3 linked regions of the Arabidopsis thaliana genome follow. The protein of the gene in region 3 interacts with the protein of the main gene of each other region in a pairwise test. Each region holds a gene or a part of one and is shown on either strand. Other genes may lie near its edges. The genes, in order: HOS3-1, GUT2 and AT3G53190.

Region 1 (7,690 bases), on a different chromosome or scaffold from region 3:
ATTTTTATTCTCACTTTCTTAATAATATCTTTCATTTTTTTTTTTTTGTGAATCTATGTTTTCAGTTCATTTCCTATTCATATATGCCATGTGCTGATGTGCATAGATTCGTCTAATAAGAATATCACATTATAAAAAATATTCTAACGTACGTGAAAATTAGATGTACCAAAATGGTTTATGTGATGTCTCATGTCTTAATTAGACCGAGATAATCGTTGAGTCGGAACTATGTAGTATAAAATAAGTTTGTTGACATAGCAAGGCATATTTAAACAGGGTTTACATGATCTTGATTTAAACACACACTAAATTTTTATTATCTCCATCACCATCAAATTTGAATCAGCAGTACAACCAAGATAACATGTATTTGGATTTAAACGTAAATATCAGGTTTATCATTTTAATTCTACGTGTTTATAAATTATAGAGAAAATTATATTTTAATTCTACGTGTTTATCATTAATTTTATTATTTATTTTTTCAACATGTTTATCCGGTGATGCTATTTTGAAAAACAAATTTGTAGATAAAACAGAAAATGTGGCGACACGTCCGTGTGTTTAAATTTACTGAATTACCTAACCAGACACAGTAGTTACATCCACATTACATCACATTTGTTATCTCTTTATTAGGTGTGCAAAGGATAAAAACGAAAAATGTGGCAACACGTCATTGTTTCAAATATTTACTAAGTTTTCCTTATATAGACATTATTACATCTCAAAAAATCATCTCTTCAACATTACCATTTACTACTAGATGCAAGAGATAATAACAAGATAAAACAGAAAATGTGGCGACACGTTTTTGCCTTTCTTTTTAATTCTGTTGTGTAATTTACTCATAGTCAAATAAGTTATCAAGATATTATATCTTTTTAAAATTTAATCGGACGGTTATTGAGGCATCGAAAGCTATCACCAACATAAATCTATCCACGTGGACGGTAGTCACCTATCAATATTCACGAAAAGGCAGCGTTTATTGAATTTCTCGTGATATATCTGCTGACGTGTATAAGGCCCCACAAGATTTATGTTAAACGTAAAATTAAAACTGTAACAGAGAACTTTGGTTACCTATATAAAGCTCGCTCTTGCTGTTTCATTTTTTCAAGTAGTAACTGAAATCGAATTCATTTTCTTCTCTTCCTTTCTGGGATTTCGATTTTTCGTATTTTTTTTTTGTTCTGTTCGTCATGGTGATGATGAAGAAGCTTTTGTCGAACCGTTTGTTCAATATGTCAAAAACGGCGTCGCAAAGTCTCATGAACTGTCGTACTTCGTCTTCTTCTTCGTTAGCCATGCGAACTAGGGTTCCTAAAGATATAGGAGAAGCCACGATTGATCCAGAGCCTGGAGATTTGACGATTTCTCAGAGGTTTTTGAATAAATTCTCCATGAATGGGATTGATACGACTTCGAAGATGTCTATTGGGGAGAGTCTGATGGAGAAGCTTAAAGAAATGGATATGAACAAGGATCGGATTCGATTAGACGGACTTTCTCATCCGAAGGAGGAGACGTTAGGGCTTACTGTGCAAGACGTGAAGAAGTTGCTAAGAGCAGCAGAGATCGAAGTTATTAAAACGAAGCTGATGGAGACAGGAAAAATCTGGATTCGTTACTCAGATTTCTTAGGTGTTTGTAGTGATTCTTCTTTGGATCCTTCTCAAGGAGCTTTGATCGCTAAGATGCTTGATGATTCAGGAAACGTTATCGTTATGGGAAACTCTGTTTGTTTAAGACCTCATCAGGTAACTTCTTCCTCCTCTTTGCTTTTTTTTACCATTTGAATTCTTTTTTGTCTATGCAATTCTCTGATAAGGTCTTGTGTGTTGATCAGTTAACCAAATCCATAGAGGGGCTTCTTCCTTTATCACAAATCCATAACCCGAATGACCCAAGAAGAAAGGAGCTAAATGAGCTTGAAGCTATAAAGACGGTCATTGACCAAAAAGCACATTCTTTGGTGAGAAGAGAGCTTTGGGCTGGTTTGGGTTACTTGATCATCCAAACCGCAGGGTTTATGAGGCTAACGTTTTGGGACCTGACATGGGATGTTATGGAACCGATCTGTTTCTATGTCTCATCGGTATATTTCATGGCGGGTTACACATTTTTCCTCAAGACATCGAGAGAGCCTTCCTTTCAAGGTTTTTACCAAAGCAGGTTTGAGGCTAAACAAAGGAAACTGATGCAATCTGAGGATTTTGATGTTGGGAGGTATGATGAGCTGAAAAAGCTGTTTAATCCCAAGCCTTCAGGTGCTGTTCCCAAGATTCTTGGATCTCTACAGAATTGATCATTGGTGTCTCGTTGTCCTACTAACCTGAGAAAGATATATTGACCCCCAAAATTGTGTCAAACTATAATTTTTGAATATTTCATAATCTTTCTAGGAAAATAGGAAAAAGACAAAAAAAAAAAAAAAAAGTTCTATTAGTGCGGCTTATGTAATTTGGAAGAGTAGATAAAAGAATCGATTGTGATGTAGATTTATAAATTTCAAGTCTGACTTTCTGAATGTTAAATGTTACAATACTTCCATGCATATGCATATGAGATATCATTACTTTAAACATGTTATCTATACCAAAAACTCAACAAAACCTTGTCATTTGAGGCCTAAATCTTAGTTGAAGCCAATTCCGAAATTAGTTTTAGTTTTAACTTAAATGATTTTTAGTTTATAAATTAAACAAGTATAACATATGCTTAATGATTGTTTCGGCGGGCTTACATAAATGATTGATAGAACATGTTATGCGTGGGAGTAGTCGTTGTAAGTTCACCGTCCAAGTCTCCTTTTAATTAATTCACGAGAAATCAACTACGACCGTGTAAATAAAATACTTAGTTTGGTAGGTCAAGAATCACTTCTGGAAAATGAGACTAAAGAAAAGAGTCACTTGTGGAAAATACTATCAAGTGGACAAAACCAAATTCCTCATAGTGAAAAAGAGATATATTACACTGTTCCTGCCGCATTTGTTTGGTACGTATCTAATATTTTTGTTTACTCACGTGGTACTATAACGCTTATTGCCAATATAACGATTAGGACAATTTGATTTCTACTAATTTTATTTGATACGTATCAAATATCTTCTGTCTTAGCTGGTCATCAAATTGTGTGAAATAGTAATTTAATACTAACTCGTTACTGATTACTGATGTAGATTCATCTTCGTAACGATCGCCCGATCCATATTCCAATATTTGCATTTTGTTTTACGTAATGCACTCTTTCTCATCTGTAGCTCCTTGAGTAAAACTTAAAACTTAACCATGAAGGCATCTGTAAATTGACGCTTGTCTGAATTTCTCAACACCAAACTCTCTTTCGTGTCTAGAGGTTCTTTGGTTTTCCCACCTGCTTTTCGATTATGGTAATGGTCAACTTGACGCGTACCAAGTTTTCTGATCTTTTTGAAGATATTTCAAATATGGTTTGCTATTTCGATTTTCGACAATAACAGTAAAACCCCATTAAGACCATAAATCTTAAAAATTTTCATAACCGTTTTACAATATTCATTTATGTAGCCAAATTAAATTTGTCACGTAAATGTGACAATTAATATTGGTCCACATCATTTTGCTTTCATGACAAGACCGGCCATTTAGTGACCTACTGTATGTTCTACAACAATTATTGGAAAATGGAAATTAAATATCCCAACAAAAAAAATAAGAGCAGAAACAGAGATTCACTTTGCGAAAAAGTCGCACGCACACATATAAAAGACAGGACTAGAGGAACAGAGGAAGAAGAAGAGTCACTGTGATCACCACCACCGTACGATCAAATTCAAACTATGTCAACGGCTCTGATTAACTCTATTACCTACTTCCTCTCCGAACATCCATACATCGTCGGATTCCGTTGGAGTAACAGCCAATCATGGGGCTCCACGTGGTCTTTCCTCTTCACATCAATCTCCCTCTATATCGCCGTCTCATCCTCCCTCCACATCCTCCTCTCCGCCGTACGCCGAAGTAACCGTTCCGTTCCTTTAGGTCACATCCCCGAAATCCACAGCCTTCTCATGTCGATCCTCTCCGCCACCATTTTCGCCGGAATCCTCCTCTCCGCTGCCGCAGAGATCCGTGACACACGGTGGTTATGGCGGCGGAGCAAAACCGCCACTCCTCTCCAATGGCTTCTCTGTTTCCCTCTCGGGACTCGTCCCTCTGGTCGTGTCTTCTTTTGGTCATACGTGTTTTACCTCACGCGCTTTCTCCACATGTTCCGTACGATTTTCGCCGTTTTACGTAGCCGGAGGCTCGCCGTGTCTCAGCTCTTTTGTAACTCCGTCATGGCCTTCACGTCTTTCCTCTGGCTAGAATTCTCGCAGTCGTACCAGATTCTAGCGATTCTATCGACGACTCTGGTTTACTCGGTGGTTTACGGTTATAGATTCTGGACCGGGTTTGGTTTACCCGGTTCGGCTTTCCCTTCGTTTGTGGTGAATTGTCAGTTGGTTCTCGTGGGCTGTAATCTCGTGTCTCACGCTGGGGTTCTTACGATGCACCTCTTTAAAGGTGGATGCAATGGGATTGGCGCGTGGGGTTTAAACTCGGTTCTCAACGGTGCGATTTTGTTGCTTTTTCTTAACTTTTATGTGAGAATGCATTCGCCAATGCGACGCCATATTAATAAAATGAATAGCCAACGTAACGCTTAAGAATTAATTGATCCTTTTTACTAGTTTTTACTTTTTACTCAATAAAACAAATCTAATCTTCTTTTTTGTCTTTCACTTTTAAAACTGAAGTATAATCTAATTTGTTTTCTAATAACTAAAATGTTCTGCGTCTAGGTCTGTACATCTTCTCAAACCGGGACAATTTTTTTTTTATAAACCATCGATCTCTGACTTTGCATGAGATATTTTACATTTGAACTATTGGCTCTTAGTTAACGCAATCTAGTTCTTGTTTTTCATTCTTTTAAATCTAGTTTTGTGTTTTTTAAGTGGAAAGAAATTATGTCGATTATTTATAAATATATCTTTAAAAATATTTATTTATTTCATAAGAGGTTTTTGATCCAAAGACTCAAACTTGGGGTAACTTTATGACGTAGATATACCACAATACCCACCAAAATGTGGTGATAGAGGAAACAAAGGTTTACATGGTGGATCATGGACGAGGATGATCAAAAGCTTATACTCTTTACCAAGTGAAAATGCATTTTGGATAAGAGGAAAAATTATTAAAAGCGAGAAAACATAATATGGTTTGAGACTGATGTGTTAGATTGTAAGAGCTGCAATTGTATCTCTCTACTTGGGGACACACTTTTGATTTTCTATTTACCGTTTGAATGCCGTATAAGGAAATGTACAGGTCAAACGAATATGGTCGAGTGTTCGCCTTAGACCATTGTATAAGGAAATGAACTATGTCGACTATATTTAATATTTGGGCCTAGTATAATATTACTACACTTAATCAAAGTTAAGGCATTTATAACTGTAGAACAAGATGGGCCTAAGGCCACGGTTTTCTACTTAACTAGGCACACATATGACATATCCCATAGTAAAAAAGCTTACATAATAAGGCCCACATCTGAAATCTGATTCTCCACTGTAAAAATAAAATCCTCTTAAGCTCTCGATCGATGGTTCTGCAATCTCACAAACCAGAAACAAAGAGTCCAGGCTCTTGCAACCAACCGCGGAACTTGTTGAAAGGCGACGAGGAGAGAGAATTTCAAATCTCTCCAGATCAAAGTGAAACACAAGTACAACAAGTAACCGACAAAGTGAAGCGCAAGTACTTGTTTCTTTCCTTTTCCTTTAATATTTGTTAATTTGAGAAAAGTAAAAACCATAAAATATATATAGTTTCTGTCCGAATCGGCCTATCTTCACAAAATCTCGATTCCAATCAAGAATTTATGGCAAGAAAGGTCGATCAATCAATCAGATGATTATGGATCTAGAGATCTCTAAATTTGTGTTGTTGTGAATTGAGAATGCGAGAGCATTCGACGATGTACAATTACGCCCCCGAAGTGCCACCGCAAAGTAAAAGGAAGAAGACGATGAATGAGGCGTCTCCGTCGTGGTCTGGATTACCGGATTCTGTGGCTGTGAGTTGCATGGCTCGCGTCTCGAGATTGGACCAAACAGCCTTATCTCTCGCTCCAAGAAATACCGCTCTCTCGTAACATCCCCTGAGCTCTGCAGCACGCGATCGCTGATTGGTTGCACTGAGCCATCTTTCTTCGTCTGCTTGCGCATCTTACCTGATCCAACCCCTCGCTGGTTCGTCCTTACGGGTAGTCGTCGACTGAGGCCGGTCCCATCGCACCCCTATCAGGCTCCGGAATCATCTTCTTTTGTGGTAGTGAATTGGGGGATCTATGTTATGTAATCGGTGGAATCATAAACGGCAATCCCACTTCCGATGTCTTGTTCCTCAACTGTTTTTCTCAGACATGGCACCGCGTCCCGTCTATGAAGATGGCTCGTGCTTCCGCATCGGCAAGCCTCATAGACGGGAAGATCTACGTTTTTGGAGGGTGCCCAGAGGACGCTGATTCCTCAAACTGGGCGGAGGTATTCGATCCAGTTTACCAAACTTGGGGTATATTTAATACGCCGAAGATGGCCCATAGTATCAACCAAAGTGTGGTGATAGAGGAGAAGAAGGTTTACGCCGTGGATGAGGAGGACCAAAGCTTTAGCTTCTTGCCAAGTGAAGGTAGAATCTGGAAAAGCGGAAAAAAAGATTCTAAGGTAGGAAGTAGACACGATTGGTGTGTCATTGGGAAATTACTATACTGTCGTGCTACTCGCGGTAGAATACTATGGTGCCAACCAGATGAGTTGGACTGGAAAGAGGTAAAAGGTTTGGAACAGCTACAATTGTATCTCTCTGGTACAAGATACATCTTCAGACGTACCTCTGATAAACGACCGTCAAAGACCAACGTCAAATATGATATTAGAAAAATCTCTAGTAACTCTGCTGGGAACATTGTCATCTTCGGGAACGCACATATTGGAGACCCTGAGTGTGTGGAGCTTTGGTCTGCCGAGATTTCCATGGAGAGGCGCGAGGGAGGTGAGATTTGGGGGAAGATTGAGTGGTCCAATGTTGTCTTCAAACTTGATCCTCTCTCAAACTCATATAGCGTTGATGTCTTATTTTCTGCTTCTGTCCATTTGTGATATATTCATTCCAATATTTATTTGTATTGCATATTACTCAACGAATCAGATTGTGGGATATAAGCATATAGTAGGCAATTAATCATTTAACAGTAACAACATAACAGTTAGAGCCTCTTTCTTTTAAGAGGTATGTGGTGGAATTTGATGCTGAATTCTCATTAATGACTCGTTACCAACATAACAGGTAAAACCAACGTATCTTGACCCTTCTAGAAGCTAAGCCTCTCTATGCTTGTGCATCCTCAACTGCTATAGCAGCATGCATGATGCTTCAGCTGCTCATGAGTGTGTAGGAGCTGCAGAAAACTAATCTTGGACTCCTCCTATAAGGATCACACCCAAGGAGAATCTTGGTGACCAGGTTTTTGTGTGGAAGGAAAATGCTGCTTTTGTTGCGTATAGATTTTGAGGAAACAGAAAGCAGTTTTAGTGAACATATAATAATTAGGTTTTATATGCATACACTATGAAATCAATAATACTTA
Region 2 (8,397 bases), on a different chromosome or scaffold from region 3:
TAACCTATAGATTTTGCTGCCTTTAACCTCTACAATAATGTTGTTGCTAAAGCATAGTGAAAACGAGCTTTGGTAAGCAAAATGAAAGAAGCTTACATGAAAATGACGCAATTTAGCGAACAGGAGAAACGAGAATAGCAGCCGCCATGAAAAGAGATTTGATAGGAAATGACTTTAACTTGAGATTTTCTTCTTGGAGTAGTGTAGTAAGCTAAAAACCAAAAACCTCGAATTTGTGAAATTGATTTACTCAGAGAGAAGATTCGAAATCGATGAAGGGCTCTTTGTCATTTTGCACTGTGTGTCTTGTTCATGTCAATGTAAGCAACAAGCCAGCAGCAACCACGCTGTGATTTTCTTTTTGTTTATTTTTATTTTTTAATTTAAGATAATTTGAATTTTTGTCTTAGGTCCCACATTTATATCTGTTTTCAACTATAGCATGTTTCAAACATTCCCAAAATACCCTACTGTAATAATTATTGTATACATCTGTATGGAAACGTAACAACATGAAGTAATAATTTTGAGGAAAGAGAGAAGTAATGTTTGCCCAAAAACGAGAGAGAAAAAGAGATTAAATCAAATATGTAATTATTCGTTTTTACTACGCAAACGAGGATCTTACCTAAGTTTATAGATTTGTTACCTTCCTAAGCTTATTGTCAAATTATACTCATCAGCATGGGACATGGACGAGCATTGTGATTTGTGTCCTTACGAGTTGAGAAGAGAAGTAACGAGCAAGGTGCTGCGAAACTTAAAAGAAGAATTGCGTTACCAAGACTTTAGCCCCTGTTGGAGTCTACTATTACAACTTGATTCTATAAATAAAACCCATAACACCTTATTAATCGGGGATTTTAAGTGGAACAATAGGAAACTGCAATCGAATCCTGACATTCAAATGCCATTTTCTAGTCTGAACCAATTATGATAAGTTGAAACAACAAGGATCAAATCCCACGCAAAATGTCTCACCATACATGAAAAATAGCATCAACACTCGATCCAATAACCTTCTCTTCCAGTTTCTTGTTAAGCAGCCGACTTTACAAGAACAAATAGCGACGTCTCTCCTAGTTTCTCCTTTCCCTACAAAACCATTGCAGCCCACATATCTCTTTATAAGCAAATCAGTGTAAGAGATTGGAAGCAGATAGTAAAACAGAGATAAATAAGCTAAACCTTAAGCTCTGGTAACTCAATTACGCAAGCACATTCAACAATCTTCACTCCTACTCGTTCTGCAAAACCAACCAATTGTGGGAGTGAGAAATAGTCAAGTTTAACTGAACTGCATATGCTGCATTATCAAATCTTGGACTTACCAAGTAGTCGGATTGCAGCAGCGAGAGTCCCACCCGTGGCAATGAGGTCATCAATAATAATAGCACGCTCACCAGGCTCTACTGCACCTACGTGCATCTCAATCGTATCTGTTCCATACTCCAACGAATACTCCTCCGAAATAACCTTCCCTGTTAAAGGAACCAAATGCAGAGGCAGTTTAGAAATTAACGTCCATGGATAAACAAGGAATGCGACAATTATTTGACACTGCTCATAAGTTTCCAAATGGCTTAATACATTTCTTGTAACTGGTCAAGATACACAACTAAGTCCATTGATATGTAACAGAAAAAATAACAACCACTTAAGTTACTGCAAGTTACCACAAAGAAAAATGATCTAGCAAATGAGTAGCATCATATTGATCAAAGACACTGCAAGATAAAAGTCACCTTGCTAATGTTCGAGATAATGATAAAGTGTAGACTTGGAGCAAGAAGCCATTTAAACTAACAACTTCCTAATTGAGACCTTTCATGTAACTTAATGTCAAAATCACAAGCAACTAGAGGAAGAAATAAAAATGTACCAGGTAGCTTCTTGGGCTTCCTCATGGGAACAAATTTGGCACCAATAGCCAACGCAATAGGAGGGCCAAAAATGAAACCTCTAGCTTCAACACCTGCATTTACCACAACATCAATTTAGGCAGAACCAAAAATCATCCACCAATTCATTTCAACTTTTCAGTTTAAGCTAAAGCACTCAGTATCTAAAAAGGCCAAAAGAAACTAAATCCACAAGCTGTTAATCGATTGGAGTACCAAACAGAACCATACGAGTTGTTACCTGCAACAACAGATATGCCTTTATCTTTGTATCTATCAACAAACAAAGCAATAGTATCCTTAAAGGCCTCAGTGTCGAGAAGAAGCGTCGTTATGTCCTGAAACATGATTCCTGCCAAGTATCCAAATTAAAACCTTAAGATCCCAACGCAGATCAAGACTAGAGACGATATTAATCGGTATAAATGGAAAAAATGGAGACCTGGTTTAGGGAAGTCGGGGATGACTCTAATGGAAGAGGCAATCTTAGCGATTCTGGGATCTTGCACATCTTCAGTCGCCATTTCACTGTCCCGACTGGCTGCTGCTTTAGCAAAATACTCGGCGTCAGATTTGCAAACACAGAGAGACCCTAAAGACTCAATAGAGAGACACAGTGATGAAAAAATGACCAATTTATCCCGAATGGTAACGCTTTGACGGAATTGCCCCACGCAAGCAAAATATCTTTTTCAAAAGGAAACAAAAAGTTTAAAAGGGAAATAGAAGGTGGTGGGGTCTACCGGCGGAGGAGAAGAGGCGGAGTGAGGTGGTTGAACGGTGGTTTGAGAGGCGGATCGAAGGAGGAGCACGGTGGTGGTTGTTGAGAAGACGGTTGCAAGGAACAGCACGAGCAAGACAGAGACGATGAGAAACAAGTGGAGAAATTATTATTGTTTGCATTGTCTTTGGACTGAGAGATCTTAAAAGAGAATGTAAATTACTTTAAACACGGAATAATGGACAAAAGCCGTGATCAATGACTTTTCAAGTCTTAACCAAACCTATAACTCATCCATTGTTTGTTTTTTCTACATATTTCTTCACATAAAATTGGATGATTTAGAATCTTTCAGAGTGTTCACACTCCAACAGATTATTATCCACAATGTTATGGTTACATTTAGAGATATATAACAATGTTCATTTCATCGTTGCTAATGACATAAAACGATCAAAAACTGAATCATAGTACTTCTTTTACAGTGATCTCAAATATATTAATCGCTAATCAATGAATTATGTCACCTATAATTGTCGTATTACCAACAACTATAAAACATATATATAAAAAATTGTTGTCGTTAACTAGTTGTTGATAGTGGCCACTCTAAAACGATCATGACCTACTACGGAAGTTATAACTAGTCAACGTTGGACGTTAGCAAGGCCCAATGGACATTAACTCAGCCCATAATAGCACGCGCCTTGTGATGTGCACCAGTTTCCGTCTTTGGTCGTTGAATTCAAGGAAAAAAAAAGTACATCACAAGCAATTTCTTACTTATCTGTGACTTGAAGCTATTTCTCCAATTTCGTTTTCCATCGACACTCTATTTCATTTTCACCATTCACGTCTTCCTTCTGAATAAAATAAACCCTAAAACCTAATACCGAAGTAAACTCGTCAACCACTGCGCCCATGACCTCCCAACGATACTCTTCCCTTATATTCTTCCTCTTCCTTCTTCCTTTCTGCGATCCAAACCTTCAAACACATCTCCGGTAGATATGAAAATCCACTCTTGCCTCTCCGCCATTCTTCTGTTCCTCTTCTTCTCTGCTTCTTCCGCTAAACAAAATGTTCGGACAGAGCGAATTTCAGGTACTTGTTCTTCTTGCTCCAGCAGATTGGAATGTAGAGTTGAATTGATTAATCCTTGAGGGTCGCTCAAATAAGTTTGAAATCTGTCGTTTCTCCAGCATTTGGTTTATAGACATATAATTTGATTTGCTTAAGAAGTCAATGCTATTGATTGAGGAACTATGTAACAGCTGTGTAAGAGAGCTCAAAAAGGTGTGTTTTTGAAATGCAGGAAGTGCTGGTGATGTTTTGGAGGATGATCCAGTGGGAAAGCTTAAGGTTTATGTATATGAGCTTCCAAGCAAGTACAACAAGAAATTACTGCAAAAGGATCCTCGATGTCTTACACACATGTTTGCTGCTGAGATTTTTATGCACAGGTTCCTTTTATCTAGTCCTGTTCGAACGCGTAATCCTGATGAAGCTGATTGGTTTTACACGCCAATTTATCCTACTTGCGACCTCACTCCTACCGGCTTGCCATTACCGTTTAAATCGCCGCGTATGATGAGAAGTTCGATACAACTAATCTCATCAAATTGGCCTTATTGGAATCGGACTGAAGGAGCTGATCACTTCTTTGTTGTGCCCCATGACTTTGGAGCTTGCTTCCATTATCAGGTAGATTATCTCTGCATTCAGGAACAAACTCTATTTTTTATATGCATTGAATACTTTGGTGGTTGCTGTTCATCAAGAATACCCTGTGATCTTACAATGATAGATGATCATTAGCTTAAAATTAGCTGTTGTATCATCACATTAGTACTTAGTTACATGGAAACTGAGAATCTGTTTATGAGTTTATTGTATAAGATTGTGGAATATTCCAATGATTTGTGTGGGAATTGAAGATTTGATTGACATTAAACAGGAGGAAAAAGCCATTGAAAGAGGGATACTTCCACTACTCCAGCGTGCCACTTTGGTTCAGACATTTGGTCAAAGGAACCATGTCTGTTTGGACGAAGGCTCGATCACTATTCCTCCTTTTGCACCTCCACAGAAGATGCAGGCCCATTTTATTCCTCCAGATATTCCACGCTCTATCTTTGTCTACTTCCGCGGTTTATTTTATGATGTTAACAACGACCCCGAAGGTGGATATTATGCAAGGTACATATTTTGTAGACTTGTAAAACTCTCAAGTGATGAGTTTTCTCTAGTCTTACATAGATTTTTCAACCAAAATGGAACTGCAAACTCTATAGTATCATACAATAAAAGAAGCACATATACATCAAGATCTACCTATTAAGATAACAATTAAGCATTCCTCATTAGGAAGTTAGGTTATATATAAGGTTAGCTAAGATCAAATTGTTTTAGAATCTGCTGACTGGAACTTCTCTCTTTGTATAGAGGTGCAAGAGCAGCGGTGTGGGAGAACTTCAAGAACAACCCTTTGTTTGACATCTCAACAGATCACCCGACAACATACTACGAAGACATGCAGAGAGCCATCTTCTGTCTATGTCCTCTAGGATGGGCTCCATGGAGCCCTAGGTTAGTTGAAGCAGTTGTGTTTGGGTGCATTCCAGTTATCATAGCAGACGACATAGTACTGCCTTTCGCAGACGCCATCCCCTGGGAAGAAATAGGAGTCTTTGTTGCGGAAAAAGACGTCCCTGAACTAGACACGATCCTAACCTCAATACCAACAGAAGTGATCCTCAGAAAACAGAGACTCCTCGCAAATCCTTCGATGAAACGAGCCATGCTTTTCCCTCAACCTGCACAACCAGGGGATGCATTCCATCAGATACTTAACGGGCTAGCTCGGAAGTTACCCCACGACAAAAGCATATACTTGAAGACAGGTGAGAAGGCACTGAACTGGACTGCTGGTCCGGTTGCTGACCTGAAACCTTGGTAAAGTCAGAAAGAGAGGAATCTTTTTGTATATCTTGGGTTTCACCTAGAGCATACGTTGTTGCCTTTCTATAGCACTTCAAAAACATTAGAAGTCCAAGTCCTCCGAGTGGATTTTTTTTGTAGATAACATTAGTACATTTACTCGAGGTACATGTACCAAGTTTGTTGTACATTTTCTCTTCGATTGATCATATAATACTGTACACTCCTTTTGTCTTGGCTAACTCCAATCATGTAAGTTTCAATGTCCAATAACCTGAAAAGTTATGAAAACATGTGGTAATTAATTTTGTTGTGAATCAAATTAGAATCCTTATTAAAAAAGAAAATTATTTATTCAAAAAAAGCTCGTAGATGAAATGGGCCTAAAGTCTACTAAATGGGCTGATTGAAGGAAAAACTCGAACTAATCTAAGATCTTTGCTCTTGAGAGAGAACGAGAGAGGCGGCCATGGGAGGAGGAATGGGTGCGTTTTGGGGAACTCGAGTGATGGAATTAGTGAAGAAGCACGATTCCGGTGGTCTTCTTTGGAAGCGGATCAAGCTAACCCCTACTCGTAAAGCCAATGCCAAAACCCGCCTCCGTCGTGTTTGGCAGGTACTCTCCTATTCCATTTTTAGGGTTTATGGGTTTTTGAGAGAACATTTCTCTTTTCGTAGTCTAGATCCTCTTATCTGCGTTCACTTCCCTACAATTACCCGCCAAGGATAGATTAGGATTGAATGTATTGATGGATTTTTCGTGTTGAAAGTATTGATGGATTCATTTCAAGATCATCAGTTTCGATTGCAAAATGTTGTTCAGTCTATTGTGATGTGCTCTCCTTAGGTCTGAGTAGATGTAATGAGTTAGGACAAGGCCAACTGTGTAGTTTGTTCTTGGTATATGGCCTTTAGGCTTCTATGTATCTTTCTGTGGAACTAGGAACAGAGTAGGAACACTTGGAATTCATTTTTCCCGGTTTGGTGTTTGGTATCATGCAAAGGTTGTCCATCTCTCAATATGCTTGTGTTATTTTCGAGCTATTTTGGGCTATCTTGTGCATCACAGTGTGTTATACATTTTTTGGTAAAGCTTGTCGATCTACCAAGATGTATGTGGTGATTTTGAGCTCATACCACCTAGGAATTTATAAATATTATAAGACCCAACCCTCCTATATATTCTTCGACGCAAGTATTGTTTTAATAGTTATGAGAGTCTCTTGCAGAATGAGGCTGTTCTAAGGGCGTGTGGTGAATCAGATGCACCAAATCCGCCGGGAGCTAGCAACACAAAAAGCTCTAGCAATGCGGTGAAAAATGCGTAAGGCCGAAGAGAAGCTAGTCCTAGTTTGTAAGGACTCGTAGATCAAGTCTCTGTCGTTACCTGATTTTACAAAAATAATATTTGAACCTTGTGTTTGGTTATTAGTTTTGCAAAAGAAGAGGCACCTCCACACCAAAGCAAAATATGGTATTTGAGTATTGGTGTTTTTTTTTTTATTATTCTTGTCATCAAGAAATTTGTTCGTCGCCTGCTCAATATAGTTCTTTTGGCTACACCCGTTTATCCTTGTCGTGCCTTAGTTATGTTGGCCGTTTAGTGGCTACAAGTGGATATGTTTGTGGAACATTTTTGAAAATCACTTGAAGCACTCTTTTGTTTTTGTTTCTCCGGTTGATCGAAAAAAAGTTTTTGTTTTCTCCGTGATTTTTTTCCTCCGTAATTACATGTTGAAACAACAGGTGAAAATAATCTTGTTGAAAAGTTTCAAGTATTTTTAAACCATCAGTAAATAATTTTTTTATTCAGTTACCACTTTTAATATATTCCTTCTCAATGTATACTATCAAAGTGAAAAAAATACCACTATTATACTCATTAGACCTTTAATGAAACTTTTGATAAAATATTTAAATTGGAACAAAACAGTAAAAGGAAAATAATACTGGAAAATTAAAATGAATACATTAGATGTTTGAATAGAAAGTATAGCATTAATAAATAAACAATGATAAATTAAATAAAAGAAAACCTGGGGTTGACAAAAAAAAAAATGAAAGAAAAAACAAAAAACTGGGCAAAGTCGGATCGGTGTTGTTAAACAAGCAAAGCCCTCCTTAGCCTTTCCTTCCTCTTGCTCCTTCACTCACTCTCGATCTCGACGCGAAATAGCTTTCTCTCTTCCAAAGGCAATTATCGAAAACCTGCAAAAAGTTTCTCCGCCAAGTCTCTCCAAAACCCCTTTCTCATCTCTACTTTTCTTCTTCTTCTTCTTCTTCTACTGCGCTCGCTCCTCGCTCCTCCGTCTCCGTCTTCAACGTAATCTCGAAGTCGGTTGTTTCAATCCTGCCATGGCCGAAGGGAAGTTCGATCTGCCTGACGATCTCATCTTTTCCAAATCTTCTGATCAGCTCAAAGGTACTTCTCTCAATCCTCCTCTTGTTTCTCTTTTTGAATTTCTTTCTCTCTCGACCGATTTGAATGCGGAGAAACAAATGTAATCGTTTGGATTCTGGATCTGAATTCGATAGGATGCGGCAGCTATGAATATCAAACAGATTTATCAAAATTTGACCTAGTATGTGCTGATTAGGGCTACGATATCAATTTTATCCTCTATGGTCCTTGTTATGCCCGCTTTAGACGCATTAGCAACTCCATGTTTGAATTCTTTTGTTACCGATTCTAGACTTTGGGATCTGGAAAGATGAACCAATGACTTTGTTCGTGCCTCTAATTTGGCTATTAGTGGTTTTCTGACTTTGTATCTGTTTGATTTCTCTGATTTCCTTCACCTATTGACTACCTTGTTTTTGCAGAATTGGCCTCAG
Region 3 (9,595 bases):
GAAATGTGAATAGTCTAAACCGATTTTAACCAAAGCCATTTTCAACATTGATAGATTTCATTAACCGGCTCAATTAGATGCGTCGATTTTAAACTCTCTTTGTTGCAAAAATGAGATTAGGCTTAACACTGGGATTTACTTAACTAATCATACTTAAGAGTGCTTCGTTGGCTTAAACTTTTAAGTGAGTGGAAAAAAGATCTGGTTTCATCTCTTTCTATCTTCTTTTTTAAGTCCCTAAGATATTGAAATTCCAAAATCCAAACCCGATTGGATACTTAGATTAGTTAATTAAATTTTAAGATGATGAAAGCCATAATCCCTGAAGACAATGATAATAAAAAATCACAAGTTGATGATGATTCAAAAGGAAAGATACTTGGAACCTAATCCAAATCTATAATCTATAACTTAAAAGATGACCTAGATCAAGGAAAAACAAGAACCTAACTAACTGATGCATGATGTTATTATCCACTAAACTATTTGTGTTCGTCAGCTTTTTGGACATTTTTCCCAATTTGGGTAAACTCATGACTTTACTATTTAAGCAAAGCCAAAGCATGCTTACAAGTTCAAAGCACAATTTTAGAAAGGATTTAATTAAGTATAATAACACAAAGAAACAGAGTAAAAGAAAGAAAAATGGATTTTAAGAAGGAAGAAACACTTCGTAGAGGGCCATGGCTCGAAGAAGAAGACGAACGGCTAGTGAAGGTCATTAGTCTTTTGGGAGAACGTCGTTGGGATTCTTTAGCAATAGTTTCCGGTACACTTTGAAACCTTATTTTGTGTCACTTTCCAAAAATAGAAATTTACATGTCCGAAATATATGTTTGTTGTGTTCATACGTATAGGTTTGAAGAGGAGTGGTAAGAGTTGCAGGCTAAGGTGGATGAACTATCTGAATCCGACTCTGAAGCGTGGACCGATGAGTCAAGAAGAAGAGAGAATCATCTTTCAGCTCCATGCTCTATGGGGTAACAAGTGAGAGACAAAAAAAACCCTTGAATCTTGTACTTACATGATTGTTTTTTGCGGTTTGATTAATCAAATATTGTATATCAATAGGTGGTCGAAGATTGCGAGAAGATTACCCGGTAGGACTGATAACGAGATAAAGAACTATTGGAGAACTCATTATAGAAAGAAACAGGAAGCTCAAAACTATGGTAGATATTCTTTCATTGTTGCATATGTATGTTAGTTTTAGATAAGCATTCATTGAAAAAAATGATGTGTTTTTCTGCAGGAAAGCTCTTTGAGTGGAGAGGAAATACAGGAGAAGAATTGTTGCACAAGTATAAGGAAACAGAGATCACTAGGACAAAGACGACGTCTCAAGAACATGGTTTTGTTGAAGTTGTGAGCATGGAAAGTGGTAAAGAAGCCAACGGTGGTGTTGGTGGAAGAGAAAGCTTCGGTGTTATGAAATCACCGTATGAAAATCGGATTTCGGATTGGATATCAGAGATTTCTACTGACCAGAGTGAAGCAAATCTTTCAGAAGATCACAGCAGCAATAGCTGCAGTGAGAACAATATTAACATTGGTACTTGGTGGTTTCAAGAGACTAGGGACTTTGAGGAGTTTTCATGTTCTCTATGGTCATAATTCTAAAGTTGGTTTATTTACTTTTTAACTGATGGATAATTGAATTCGAAAGTGCTATATTAAAGTAACAAGTGTTCCAATATTCAACCTTAATGTACACAAATATGTAAAATTTGAACTCAATTTGAATCGGTTATCAATATGAAATTTGAATCGCAAGTTTAGTCAAGGTCAAAGATAAAGTTGTTAATCTTCACACAATAAACAATTTCCTAAACAAAATAAAATAAAATAAAAATAAAGGTACATATCCATAATAACAAATTAAGTAAAAATATAGCATTGATGTGTATAGTCTTGTTATATACAGCAACAAAAACATGAGAAGTCCATGCTCCAATGATGAAAAATTATAAGTTTTTTTATGTTAACATTATTGGTTGATGGGCTTCACCTTTAATATGAATTAATTTTAATTGTTTTAGTGTACTTTTGTGCCAAATGATTTGTTAAAAATGTTTTATATTTTATTTTTTCAAGGGAAAAGTATTTAATGTTCAATATACTAAATTACAATATCCTAAAGTAGATTATATTGGTATGATCCGAATGAAGTGTAGATGCATGTATGGAACGCCCTCTTGTATATTAGAAAAGACAAGGAAGAAGATAATATAATGCTAAAGATTAATATCTAATCTCTATTAGACTATTAGTTATGTAATTAATTAAAGATAGGATAGGACTATTACAACGTCACGATTGCATATACGTATACAATAAACACACACGTGGTATTATTATTAAGAACTATAACATTTTGTAAAACTACAAATTATGAGGTCCATTAAAACTACATAAAGATCATAGAAGAAAAGAATGCACAAGAATGAGTATGGAAACAACTTTTTGCTTGTTCCTTGATAAAATAGGTAAATTCAATTCATGTTACAACATAAACATTTGGGTTGAAGAAGTGAACACGACCAAATATGATATCGAACTTAGCAAGAAAACAAGAACTGAAAAAGATAACCGGTTGGTTGAACCAGCGCCAGACATTTCATCGGTATAGTCATTATAAGAATCTAAACCGCTAGTACCTTCCGATCCAGTAGTAGTCCACATCCCCAGATTGTTATTCCTGTACCAAATCAAACACCCTAAATTAGCTCCATTTTGACTTTTTGAGGTTAATTATGAAAATAGTGGGGTAAAAAGAAGTTAGACAAAAGAAAAAGAATAAAGTTAAAGCCAAAAGTAGAAGAAAACAAAAGGGTATGTAGACATACCATTTTTTAATATGGTTTGTGTTGGTAAAATAAAAGTTTCAAAGTATTGATTTGTTAAAAAATGAAATGTTCTTTTTCAAAGGGAAAAATTTGGCAAAGAGTGAATCATTTATTGACAAAATGTAGAATCCAAACCTGCCACCAACGCCAAGAACACCAGAGTGAAATGTGATTTGGGTGATGAATGAGGCGGATTTAGGCTCGACGCTATATGCCTTCTCATACCTCATTTCCGCACCTTCCCCGGATGCCACGAAGAAGGCTCCATTCACCAAAATGTCCCCCTCCGATCTCCAATTCCACCCTTTCCAATCACCATCCGGTGTTTCCACTCTCTTTGTCACCTACACAATGACACTCTCCATTAGTAAGATGAATGTTTTAAAGATTACACTTATTAATGAAAGTTTCACAAGCTGGATATTTATCCCTAATAAAGTTGGTATAGCTCAAAACATCATGAAACCAAAAGCAAAGTCTAAGAATGGACTAACGAACCAAGACTATAGAAAACATGCGGAGGGTTTAGTTACCTCCTTGGCAAACGGGTTGGTTGGGGCGGTGTAGCGGTTACCCTGACTGTTAATAGTCGGGTTACCGCTACCGCCAATGGCATACATTTCCCATTGAGTAAAATCGTTATTAACCACATGGATATATCCACGTCGACACCTCGGCATCCTTTGTATCAATTTCTCTCCAAAGTGATTAAACGCAATTGTTACCTGAAAAATCACACTAACATTCAAATATTACGCTCATTTAAAATAAAGTAGTCACTAAGAAAATGTATATTACGGATTAGTGTGTGTTTGACCTGCATGCCACTGTCTGGTTCATAGTGGTCGCTGTGACCAAGAAGCATGACTTCATTATGGTGAGAGAAGAAGTTGTTCGATATAGTTATTCCTGTGGAACCCATTACCGCATCTATCAGACCGTCCTTGCATCTCGATAGAGAACAATGGTCGATCCAAATGTCCTTTGATCCGAATATAGAGATACCATCACCGTCCGATTTCGTTCTGAACCCATAGTGCGTTGGACTTGACCGCACGTTAGTATTCCCTAACGAAAGCGTGAACAAACATATTTTCAGAATACTTTTATGAATAATCAATCAATGCTATTTCAGGAAGGACGAAAGATTTAGTTTTTACTTTGTTTTTCTTGCTTACCATACTTTTATGAATAAATCAATAAATGCATATAAATTCAAACAAAACATGTTTTCTTTGTTTGCGTGTGAAAACACCAATCAATGAGAAGGAAAATATGTACACCAACAAAAGGGACCTACTAAATTATTAGGGCAAGAAAAAAAAAAGGTTAAAAAGTTAAAAGACTAACAATTATTGGCCGTAAAAAAGAAAAGATAATTGATTTTTGGAGTATACATAATTTGAGATAAGAGAAAGTGTGAAAAGAGCTAAAACTAATTACCGGATTGGTAACAATGGTGGATATGGATGTTGTGAATGATGATATTGGAGACATATTGAAGAGTGATGCAGCCACCACCAACAATGTGAACATTAGCTCCTCTCCCATCAAGTGTCTTGTAACTATTGAATATTAGCTCTTGCTTTAGTTTAATCATCATGTTGCTTGGGAACACTATCCACAATGGCTCTTCTTGTATCACCCCATATCTGTCACCAAAATTTTAAGAATTTTCACATTGTAAACCCGTTTCCTTTGACATTGATAAAGATTCCCCCAAAATTATTCGAGGTCCCATGTCCCAAGAGACTGATACACTTGTTTTATTATAGTTGTCTTTTCTTTAGATTTATTATATGATTCGCTTCTCAGGTACAGTGTTAAAATTAAAATGTAGGGACATCAAGTGTAAACATCGTAAACGTTACGTTTCTATGTTTTAAAACGGATTTAGTTTATCAAAATTATACAGCTCTAAATGTTTAAAGAGGGTTTTGAGGAGGTTTTGAAGAATTTAAAGAAAAATCACTAAATCAGGGTTGTTGGGAAATATTCCACAAAACGGAGGGTTTATTTAGAAATATAAACAAGTGGTATTGAAAAAGTCGTACATAATAGATTGGTGTGGGACATGTGAATATGAGATGACAAAAGAGAGAGAGAAAAGTAAATTTGGAATAGATTAACTTATAGCTTACAGAATCTTATTTTCTTATAGGATTTAAATTATGAAAGTGTGTATGTAGGTAGGGTTTAGAGCTAATAACAATAATGACATGTAATGTTCAAGTATAGTATATAGTGTTAGTGTTGTTAACTAAACAACATAAAAAAAATCTAGCTACGGTCAAAACACGATAATTAAAGATCATATAATTGTCTAGAACTAATAAAAGACAACACATATTTGTCTATTTGTCAAGATGTTATACAAGACTTTCTTACAAGAAAGCCGGTTGAGTCGGTTAACAGAAAGGTACCTGAGAGTGCCCGGTTTAGGGTTGACGGCATCATCGTCGGAAGAATCAGTGACAAAGTAAAACTGACCACCTTTGCCTCCCAACGCGTACTGTCCGAACCCGATACCACAATCTGCTAGACCTTGTCTGTTATTGGGCCAGTTTGGGTCACATTTCCAACAGTCATCGATTGGGTTACCGGTGATACACGGGGTCGAACCGGCCTGGTCCGTCGTGTCTAGAGCTTGACGCCTTGTTATAGATGCATTTACTTTCCTGCAAAACAGTTACAAACCGTATTATTAAAGTCTTTCCGGTTTAAGAGAACAGAACAAAACAGAGGAAAACAGAAAAACCTCAGATTCACAAGAAGACATGAAAATAGCTTGTCAAATGTAATAACCAGATGGAAAAATTACATTAAAGAAGTTGAAAAAAGAGAGTAAATGTAGATCCAGAAGAGGCAATGTAGTAAGTGTACCACTGAACTTGATAAGCGACTAGTTCCGGGTCAGGATGTGGTATGAGAAGAAGAGTTCTGTTGAGCATCGAGAAAACCATTTGTGGAACCAACAGAAAAAGAGAGAAGAAAAGTACAATGCAGCTTCTTTGAAGCATCATTGCTGAAGAAACTTGTGATTTTAAGGATTTTAGGGTTTTTGGTTGGTGAAATGGAGGGAGAAGAAGAGATTAGTTAAGAGTTAAGACATGGCTTGTTGTTCTTCTTCTTCTCTCTCTGGTTACTGAGGAGTGTTCGTGAGTGGCTTTTTTACAGTGTGTTATTGCTTTTGTAATAATGGCTTTCCTTGGCTTTTGTATTTTTGTTTTTCTTTTTGAAGAGAGAGAGTGAAGTTGTTTTCCACTGACAGTCTCGAGGATTGAGAATCTGCTTGTCTCGAGGAAACGGTCTTCAATTTTTCCTTTTTTCTTTTATTGTACTAATATCTAATTAACCTAATTACTCACATAAGATAAGGATATTCATAAGCCTTAACAGATTTTAACTAAGGATAGGCTTTAATATTTGAATTCTTGTCAGGTTTTTCAACTTTTATTACAAAAAAGTGATGTGACGTTATAATAACCCCACGAGCTATAGTGCTATACAATATGAATGCTAGTATTAATGGGTTTCTGGACCAGAAAAAAGAGTTTTAAGTTAATTCGATACATCCCATAAGAGATTTACTAACATTTTGAGTAGACCAAAACCAACAGGAATATGAATACATCCAAATTACCAAAATCAATAATTAGGGTTTGAAATTGTAACCTAACCACATGTTCCAATAGTAACAAAATTATCTATATATATATATATATTCGTTATTATTAGAACTGCATTGCAGTTGAACCGCACGTATTTATTCGGAGTTTAGGAACCGCAGGTCTAACTACCTGCCACTATTGCAAGTTTGTAACCATATCTATCCAACCAAGGAAAGAAACCTACTGTGTCCATATACTCATATACACATGCGCACAAACAATCATACATGAGTATGTTTTCATAAATTAGGATTGGTTAAATAAGGCGTGATTGTTGGATTATTATTAAAGTTGTTTTTAGATTACTAATGTAAGCTAAATGTAGTGTTAAATAACGTGATGTTAGGCGACATCTTTGGAGAAGAAAGAAAAAAAAACATTATAGATATAAGGATATACACTTTGCCTCCTCACATGTTCAATAAGATCATTGTAACCAATCATAGTGTCCATAAAAGTCATTGCTTTGCTTGTGTTATTATTTTCCACGAACGATGAAATTAAGGAGTTCATTAAAACGCCTACATTACGTAAAGTAATCTTCTTTTCTCAACTTTTGTAATAGTATGCATCTTTTATCAATTTGTCATTATCCAGAATGATAATTTAGATTGAGACCACTTCTTCACTAAATTGTCGTAGTATCCAACATAACAACTATGGAGGTGGTTTTTGCTGAGGCCTAAAACAGAAGAAATATATATTTGACCGGAGCGTGGTGAAATAATCTGCTCCATCTCTGATCTCTCTCGGTCTCGGAGGAAAACTTATAAGTGGAAATAGTCAAAGGCTCTTGCTCTTTATTCTTTAGCTTGTATTATTAAAGTATTCGAATCTTTGTAATATACGGTGGGGACAACTTATAGCTGCATTTTTTGTTTGTCAATAAAGTTACTGATTTTACAGTAAATCCTTTATTGGCTCTTGTCAAAGCGTCATGGACCCATGGTCCTATCTATGTATTTTTGTAAAAAATATTTATTTTATTTTATCATATTAATAAACCACTTAAACCGGAAATTGGTTTAGGTATTACAAAATTGAACCATGTACAAAATGCCGGTTTCTTATCCCAACGCAAACCAACAAAAACGAAACAAAACTGTTGATACTTGATATATACGCAAAGCAGTTTCACGCTATTGTCTCGTTTTCACCTTGTATTTTCATTTTAATTCGATTCTACAATCCAAAATTAACAGCAAAGTCAATTGAATGTTAACAACAAAATTGATAACGTTGGTTTGGAAGATTTAGAGTAAATCTCTGTCTTTCTTAGGCTGGATTTTAACGTTTTGACCCCATATATCTATCATTCGTACATTTGACTACAAAATTACGTACATGCATGCGACAACAAGATTCTTTTCAAAGGACCTTGCATTGACTTTTATTGTTGTAGTAGAAAGGTTAGATTTTTCCTTCAAATCTTAGTTATAGTTTCCCTTGAACATATAAATCTGTAAAGTTTTAGCTGATTCGTTTGCAAAGGGAAGCAGTAAAAGCTCATTATGTTGTACGTATACCTTCTTACGAACAATTAATTTGTCTAGTGTGAATGAAATCATAAAGTTTGCAAGAAAAAAATTTGGACTTATTAATAAGTTCTCTTCCATAGTCACATGGAGATGGATTTTGTTCGTCCACTTGTTTGAGCATAATAAGCGTACCGTATAAACCTAATCTTTACTTTAATTTCTATACTTATCGTTCATATTTTAAGGAAATTAGCTAGGTAGCATAACTTAATTACACTTTAAACTCCAATTTCTTAAAATTAAATAAATAATATGATGAGATTTACCAAAAGAATGTCATACTAACCTTTTCTTTCATAAAAAAAAACATGTGCTTTAGTTTGCAGATTAAAGGGAGATTAAATATGATTAAATAGGTTAATTAGTCAAAGTAATGAATAAGAAAGATTTGAAAAAAAGGGATCAGGCACCTACCTAGATAACAATAGCCGGACTAAGAACATGGAAAGAACAATGGTTAAAGGGTATTTGCGCTCCTAATACTACAATCATTTTTTTGTTTCCGAGTATTAGTAGTCAAATTCAATTCATAGACAAATGTAAATGATTAAGAACTACTCCGTATTATTGAAAATACTCTGTATATTCTTGAGGCTTTTGAAAGCATGGGACGAAAAAGTAAGAAATACAAATAGTACTCCAGCATGAGCATGCGTCTCGAAATATGAAATTTAGTTTATTAATTTTCTGAACCACATCTTTATGTCAAGTATTTTGCAAATACGACCCTTCATGTGACACAAAGTCCACAATAAAACCAAATGATCCAACAATCATCATAGAGATGCTCAAAGGATTAGTATCGGTGAATGAGTTGCTTATATGCATCCGGATTCTTCGAATAATACTCGACCTCAGCCTGTTACACAAAAAAATTTAAAAAGACAAAAACAATAGATTAGTGCTAATGTACTTTGTTACCACTGAGAATCTAATGGGAAACTAAAAGACTATAGTGTTACCTTACGGACTCCTTTTATGGCAACTAAAAGCTTTTGTCCGAGCAAATCGTGGAGAACTTTGTCTTTGTCCAGAGCTTCAACAGCTTCTGAGAGCGTTTCCGGAAGTCTGTTCAATGTAGCAGCCACATCCGCCGGATTTATATCTGTTCCATCCGAACAACTCAAGATCAAGCTTCATATTAACACTACATATACATGAGAATGAATAACATAAGTTTTTAGTTACCTATTGGAGTAGGAAGTTGAAGATGTCGCCGGAGACCATCAATACCAGCAGCCATTATAACAGCCAAACCAAGGTGAGGATTTGCAGAGCCATCAAAAGACTTTATCTCAAAGTTAGTAACTAAACCATCAGGAGTTCCTGGTGGAGAAGCTGCTCTTAACGCTGCTTCGCGGTTTTCTTTGCCCCAACATTGGAATGCTCCACTCCATGTATTAGGTTGGATTCGGTCGTAGCTGGAAATTTAAGTGACACACACAACTTTTAATAACAATTGAGGAAATTACTCGAAAAGTACGGTTTTCGAGTTACCTGTTTGGGAGTGGAGCTATAATAGCTAAGATTGATGGAAGAT

The links.
Region 1: the proteins of AT3G53190 (region 3) and HOS3-1 interact in a protein complementation assay, tested with the Arabidopsis thaliana proteins (one large-scale study listed by BioGRID).
Region 2: the proteins of AT3G53190 (region 3) and GUT2 interact in a protein complementation assay, tested with the Arabidopsis thaliana proteins (one large-scale study listed by BioGRID).

Annotation. Positions count from the first base shown.
Region 1 is NC_003075.7:17,345,681-17,353,370, forward strand, and holds HOS3-1 (GNS1/SUR4 membrane protein family), read left to right. Parts: upstream 1-3,537; 5' UTR 3,538-3,830; coding exon 3,831-4,605; coding exon of another isoform or gene 4,606-4,700; exon of another isoform or gene 4,701-4,947; intron 4,948-5,101; coding exon 5,102-5,253; 3' UTR 5,254-5,483; downstream 5,484-7,690. Other genes in the region: AT4G36820 (calcium uniporter (DUF607)), read left to right, coding at 1,209-1,766, 1,856-2,314; AT4G36840 (Galactose oxidase/kelch repeat superfamily protein), read left to right, coding at 6,486-7,202. UniProt on the Arabidopsis thaliana protein: Probable very long-chain fatty acid (VLCFA) elongase that controls VLCFA composition and functions to inhibit abscisic acid (ABA)-mediated stress responses, including regulation of stomatal aperture, maintenance of primary root growth and inhibition of germination.
Region 2 is NC_003070.9:9,526,449-9,534,845, reverse strand, and holds GUT2 (Exostosin family protein), read left to right. Parts: upstream 1-3,356; 5' UTR 3,357-3,632; coding exon 3,633-3,726; intron 3,727-3,937; coding exon 3,938-4,326; intron 4,327-4,579; coding exon 4,580-4,821; intron 4,822-5,067; coding exon 5,068-5,581; 3' UTR 5,582-5,879; downstream 5,880-8,397. Other genes in the region: APT1 (adenine phosphoribosyl transferase 1), read right to left, coding at 1,039-1,095, 1,189-1,247, 1,332-1,481, 1,808-1,975, 2,143-2,253, 2,344-2,493, 2,645-2,804; AT1G27435 (uncharacterized protein), read left to right, coding at 6,032-6,178, 6,792-6,890; AT1G27430 (GYF domain-containing protein), read left to right, coding at 7,918-7,984, 8,386-8,397. UniProt on the Arabidopsis thaliana protein: Involved in the synthesis of the hemicellulose glucuronoxylan, a major component of secondary cell walls. Probably involved in the elongation of glucuronoxylan xylosyl backbone, especially in the formation of GlcUA side chain of xylans.
Region 3 is NC_003074.8:19,710,445-19,720,039, reverse strand, and holds AT3G53190 (Pectin lyase-like superfamily protein), read right to left. Parts: upstream 6,242-9,595; 5' UTR 5,870-6,241; coding exon 5,730-5,869; intron 5,525-5,729; coding exon 5,270-5,524; intron 4,499-5,269; coding exon 4,290-4,498; intron 3,915-4,289; coding exon 3,664-3,914; intron 3,572-3,663; coding exon 3,380-3,571; intron 3,191-3,379; coding exon 2,982-3,190; intron 2,699-2,981; coding exon 2,503-2,698; 3' UTR 2,300-2,502; downstream 1-2,299. Other genes in the region: MYB27 (myb domain protein 27), read left to right, coding at 646-769, 858-987, 1,072-1,172, 1,253-1,614; NodGS (nodulin/glutamine synthase-like protein), read right to left, coding at 8,852-8,914, 9,018-9,160, 9,244-9,476, 9,553-9,595.